Cricetulus griseus: one gene and its partner. The protein of the gene in region 2 interacts with the protein of the main gene of each other region in a pairwise test. Links are inferred from orthologs where the notes say so. Each region holds a gene or a part of one and is shown on either strand. Other genes may lie near its edges. The genes, in order: Gpbp1 and Fndc11.

Region 1 (3,831 bases), on a different chromosome or scaffold from region 2:
TGATAGGTAGGATTTTAGTTGAGGGGGTGGTAGGGGAGGAAGGGAGGGAGAAGGGAACTGGGATTGTCAGGTAATTCAATCTTGTTTGTAATTCTATATATATTATATATATATATATATATATATATATATATATATATCCAAAAAAACATCTATCTCATGCTTATGGTTTAAAAGATTTAATATTGCTAAGATGCTAATATTACCCCAAATGACTTACAGATTCAATGCAATTCCATTTAACATAACAATGGAATTTGAGGAAAAAATCCACCCTTTTAGAAAATAAAAAAGGGCAGACAAGAAAAGAGATATGGGGGTGAGAGATATGAACAAATTCACTATATACATGTATAAAATCTCACAATGAAACCATTAGTTTGTTCAATTAATATACATTAATATAAAAGGCTTTAAGATAAACAAAAGAAAATTCCGTATTAAAATTTACATGGAATACAAAAGGGAGCCACAAAACTTGTTTATAAAATGACTATTATTCTTTTAAGCATCCCAATCAATTTCCCCTCCAATCTCTACTCCCAGTCCCTCCCCCTCACCTCCTCCTTCCTAGCCCCATCCATTCCTCCTTTATTTCTGCTCAGAAAAGTGCAGGGCTCCCATGGTTATTAACCAAACATGGCATATTGAGTTGCCATATTAAGGCTGGTCAAAGCAACCAGTGTGAGAAATACTCTCTTAAAAGAAAAAGAAAGCATCTTCAACAAATGGTGCTGGTCTAACTGAATGTCTGCATGTAGAAGAATGCAAATTGTTCCTCGTCTATCACCTTGAACCTGATAGAAGATAAAGTGGGGAATAATGCTGAACACACTAGGATGATGTTCCATCATACAAGAAGGATACTTGCTGTTATTCTTTTGTTTAAGCTGCAGCTGCTGATATAAAGAAAGGAACAACAGATAAACAACCCACGTGGAGTTTATTTACCAGAAAAGGGGGGAGATGGGGATGGGTAGTCAGCCAACACAAGAGGAGCCAAAAGGAAGACAGCGAGGGATGGGTGGCAGGACCTTTTAAAGGAAAGGTTGCATATGCGCACTGGGGTTTTGCACCTCACAGGTTGCAATGCATGGCAGGTGAGTGCCCCGTTGTTAGGGGGCGGGGTCAGGTCATCCAGGTGTATTGTTCTTACACTTGCTCAACTATCAAAACTTTTTGATTTTTAAACATTTATTTTCAACATGTGAAAAATTTGCTTTATGTGGTGTTTTGTCTGTATGTTTCTGCATGAAGATGCCAGATCCCCTGGAACTGGAGTTACAGAAAGTTGCCATGTGGGTGCTGAGAAATGAACCCAAGTCCTCTGGAAGAACAGTCAGTGATCTTAACTGTGGAGCCACCTCTCCACTGTGTCATGTGGATTTTCAGGATCAAAGTCAGGTTGTCAAGTTTGGTGTTAAGTGCCTGGACCTGCTGCGCTATCACCACCTGAACCCTACTTTTGTTCAGTAGCCATTCTACACACACACACACACACACACACACACACACACACACACACACACACAGAAATTTAAATTTAAAAAAACAAAAACAAACAAAAAACCTACATTTTTTCAAATCAGCATTATTCATAATAGCCAAAAGTTAAACAGATGAATAGATAAACAATATATGATAGATGCAAATAATGAAATTCTACTCAGCCTAATCCCAGAAGTGCTATATATACATAAACTTGAAGTTATGATGCCAGAAGTAAGACCATCACAAAAAGACAAATAGTGTATGATTGCATTGATATGAGGCATGGAAAACCACCATGTTTATATAGAAAGCAGAATAAGTAATTTCCAGTACTAGAGAATCAGAAAGTTATCATTTAATGGTAGTAGGTTAATGTTTGGGAACACGAACACACACACACCATGGATGGTGGTAATGGTTGTTAAACAATATGAATGCATTTAAGCCATTAAGCTGAATGTGGGTGGGAAAAATGGTTAAATAAATTTTATGTGGTATGTTTTCAAGCAAAAATACAAAATTTACTTTTACCAGAACTAGTTTTTAAAACCTGTAATAGATTTAGAAAAATAACTTCTTGATGCTCTACCAAGTATGTCCTTGTACTCTTTTAGAAAGGAAAATATACAGACCTAAAACAAGATGGTTTAGAATATTAAATGCTCTTTTTGGAAAACATCAAGAGCCAAAGTTAATTAAAACTTGTCACCCATGTCAAATCAATAACCAAATTAAATGTCTGGATAACAAAAAAGTATTTCGTTCACCTAGACACTGTATACACAGTAAGACACTGCAGACTTGTCTCAAAGGGAATTCTGGCCTGTGGTATAATGGCTAGTAAATTCCTAAACAAATAAAATTATTAGGCTGCCCCTACCACCACAGTGTTTATGGAAGGGTTGTTTTATGAGTGAATCAAAAAGGCTCAAGATTCCTTACCTGTTCACTAATAACTTGGAATTCTCTCATTTCATCCTCAGTTAAGGGAGCACATGTTTCATCATTTTCACTGTCTTCCTGCCAGCCCATCTCCTTTAATAGTCTGAAAGGGAGGAATGTAAATTTAATTTAGAGCTTCACCTGGGTAATGCAATTATTCCCTATATACTATGTACAAGAAAACATGATCCACAGTCCTCAAGATACAAAGGGACTTCTGAGTTTTTTCCTTACAAATGAGTAATTGATCAAGTAAACCATATTTGGTAGTAAATAAAAATGAACTGCTTCATTGCTTAATCTTCAGGGTCAAGGTTATTTATGCTGGAAACTTGCAAGAGAAAGAGACAAAAATAAAAAGTAGCAAATCCTTGTACTAAAAGTCGTAACGATGCCACTTTTGCTTTTCATATAACTTATTCTTCTATCAATATGTCTTGGTAGAAAACTATCCTCAGTATACAATTCAATCTGAAGAGGCATTATGTTCTATAATAACAGAAAAATGCTATTTCCAAATTCAACCGAGCTGTATATAATGAAAAATGACTAATAACAGCTTACTCTTTCCAATTTTTTTTAAAGAAAAAACTCCCATTTATAGAAAAACAGAGCCAAGAAAAGCCTGACAGAGAACTGACCATTTTGATCTGTTGGACAAGCATGTTGCACATAAAGCAGTAACCCTGAAGTTTCTATGTTTTTAAGGAAATCTATCTTTAATACATTTTTAAAAACTGTACTCCTTAAATATCTGTGTTACTTCTATTTGCACATCTTTCAACTTGTATCTATTACACATCAAGGCATTAAATAACTTCAGTCTCAAAGAATACAACAGTACTCATGAGCCCTGAAAAATATCTAACATGCTATCCATATTTTATAGAGGAAGAATTACGATCATTTAAGTAAAATTTGCTTGGGGCTAGAAAAATGGCTCAGTGGTTAAGAGCACTGGCTGCTCTTCCAGAGGGCCCAGGTTCAATTCCCAGCACACACATGGCAGCTCACAACTGTCTGCAAGCAACTCAAATTCCAGTGAATCTGATACCTTCATAAAATGCACATAAAGTTAAGTAAATTAAAACACACACACACACACACACACACACACACACACACACACACACACACACACACACAATTTGCTTGATTTGCAGCAAAGGAGAAAAACAATTTTAGTATTCTGCCTCCAGAATTAGTATGTTCCACACTGAACTGTTGCCTCAGTTGCTTTTTCAGTACACTGTCTTAACTATAATTGGCTGCCCTTAGAAATGGCATTTCTACTCAGCCTAATCATTCAGTATCATCGAATCCACAGCTTATAAACTAAGACTAATTAAAGTTTACTTTTGCTATGACCATTTTCTTTCTTTTACTTGTAAGAACTGG
Region 2 (2,604 bases):
CTTGGGGTGTCCATGAACTTCAGCTTACTTGGAGAGAATGTAAGACCTTTATTTTAAAAGTAAGACATCATTTGGTCCTGGGCATCCTTGCTCCAAGGCATCTGGGATGCTGACACCAAGGCTATGATTGCCCTCAGTGGTGTCCAGACAGGACCAAAGTATCCTCTTCCTCAGGGATCTCAAGCTAGGAGGCAGGTAAAGAAATCTGGTTCTGGATGTGGGGGGTGGGGGTGAGGGACATAGGAGGTGCTGAGGCTGAGGGAGCTGAGTTCCCTTGGAACAGCTCTCATTATTGGAGCAGCCAGCACTTCCTGCTCCCTTGGACAGTGGTGCTGAAATGTCCAGTCTGGGGCTCTCCTGGAAAAGACAGAAGGCACAGGGGTTCTGGGACTTGTGGGCCATCAGGAAAAAATTATATGGTTGCTGTTGCCTTAAGGCCTAAGTAGGGTTGTGTCTTTAATTTGGTGTGCGTATACTCCTCTTTATTAGTGGATAAATATTAGAAAATCATCTCTCAGAAGGCGTGGTCAGGGGCAGGCTGGGCTTGCCCAGCCGACTGGGGGCAGGCCCTCCAGGGGGTCCTGGCATGGTCTGCAAGGTGAGGCTGTCCCGCCAGGGCTCATACACCAGGGTGTAGCTTTCTGCCCTCTTGATAGTGAACTTGTAGGTACGGTTGGGCAACAGGTTGTGCACATCAAAGGTGCAGGCGGCCACAGGGACTATGCCACACTGTGCACACTCCTGTTGTGTCCGCGGCTCCAGCAGCTTGAAGCGCAGCTCATACTGCTCTGGCGCTGCTGGCTGGATGGTGACAAACCAGCGCAGGCTGACCCAGTCTTGGTGGGCCACGGACTCCTTCCGGTCAAACATGACTGGCATCTTTGTGCTCAGCATAAGCCGGATGTGTGGGATTTTGGTGGCTCCAATGTCAGATACCAGGCGGTGCTTGACGTGCAGGTGCCCTGGTACCATCATGGCCAGGAAGTTGTCCATGACAACTGACAGGTCTGCCAACTGCTGCTCCACAAGCCCCCAGCCAGCCAGGAAGGGCCGTGGGTCGGGGGCCTCAAGCAGGGCATCCAGTGCTGCTCGGCCGTGGTCTAGCTGCTCCAGCAGGTCCCCGAGCAGCAGGAGCTGGATCTTGGTCTGTGCTGTGCCCACTTTCTTCATGCGCTGGAACTTCCAGGGATCAATGAGCTGGAACATGGTGTTAGGCAGCACCAGTGGGTTCTGGTCACCCAGGGCCAGGTGCTTAGGGAGGATTTCAATGTAGTAGGAACACTTCTTAAGCAGCTGCATGCGGGCGTGGTGGCGCTTGAGCAGCTGGGGGCTCAGGTCTGTGGTCAGAAACTCACGCAGCACATTGCGGCGCTCCACATAGGTCCTCCAAGCCTCCGGCTCCAGCAGCTGCTGGTCGTCTGCTTCCTCCACCTCCTCTGAGTCCAGGAAGGAATGTGGGCTGTCGAGCTTCATTCTGTCCAGGGCCAGGCCTGTCACCTGGAAGTTCATTGTCCAGGAGCTGGGGGTAAGGACTAGGCATCAGCTATGACAGTCACACCGGCTCTGACCTCCACCGAGGCCTTCTGCCCCACAAATGTCCTTTGCTCTCCCCTGCACCACAGCCTTCTAACCAGAGACCCCTGGAGGGATACAATAGTAGGCTGGGTACTAGACAAGAGTAGATGACGGACAGGAAACTTCTATCAAGGGGCCAATAGTCTTTTGTGGTGATGAGCTAACAGGGCTGAGAGAGTGGACTATAGGGTCAGAATGGCCTGTAAAGAAGCTCTGAGACAGGTCCTAAGCCTCAGGCTCCTCATCTACCATGGATAATGGACAGTGCCCCTGGGGCTGTGGAGAAGCTTAGGGTGACCCCTGGGACATGGATGATTATCCAATACTCTCCAGAGATCTGGTATACCTCAGCACTACTACAGGAATCTACATCATCCTCACACAGAGAGGGGCCTTGTATGCCCAAGAACAGACAGAGCAGGTCCCACCCTACCATCCCACAGATAGATAGGGAGTCTGAGGTAAAAGCTTGGTAGGCTGGTCTTCCTCCATGGTCACTTTTGGTTTTGACATAGCATCTCACTCTGTTGTCCAGGCTGCCCTCCAACTCCTGTGCTCAAGCCTTCTCATCACACCCTCTTGAGACTGCAGGGGTGTATGCTATTGAATCCAGTTTATCACAAAGTTGGAATCGTTGAAGTCTGCCCTCCTCTCCTTGTCTCCATACCTGGTCCCCAAATCTGGCTGTCTGTGGAGAGACTGATGTGCCACACAGCCCAACAGCCAGAGCTCCCTGGAGAAGGGACCAACATCCTGCCAGCTGTCCCTGGCACTAGGCCAGTGGCTTCACTTGGAGATTTCAGGTTGTGAGAACTGGGGTTGGATGAATGAGAAACAGAACTAAAAGACTGGATGACTTAGCTCGAGGTCATCCACACAAGTCCCTGCTAGTAAGGTTGATCCAAGCAGGCTTCACTTTCCCAAAGAGTCAGGAGGGCTAAAACAGGCACCCGGGACAGCAAGATTAGTTCCTGGCTGAATGCAAGCCGAGGACCAGGGCCCCAGGCCCCTGAGCCAATACAGTTCCTT

Evidence for each region.
Region 1: the proteins of Fndc11 (region 2) and Gpbp1 interact in binary tests that used the Homo sapiens proteins (3 or more experiments, as listed by UniProt). The link is inferred for Cricetulus griseus from reciprocal best matches to the Homo sapiens genes FNDC11 and GPBP1.

What each region holds. Positions count from the first base shown.
Region 1 is NC_048595.1:329,367,638-329,371,468, forward strand, and holds part of Gpbp1 (vasculin), read right to left. Parts: intron 2,537-3,831; coding exon 2,434-2,536; intron 1-2,433. UniProt on the Homo sapiens protein: Functions as a GC-rich promoter-specific transactivating transcription factor.
Region 2 is NC_048599.1:684,732-687,335, forward strand, and holds Fndc11 (fibronectin type III domain-containing protein 11), read right to left. Parts: upstream 1,510-2,604; coding exon 508-1,509; downstream 1-507.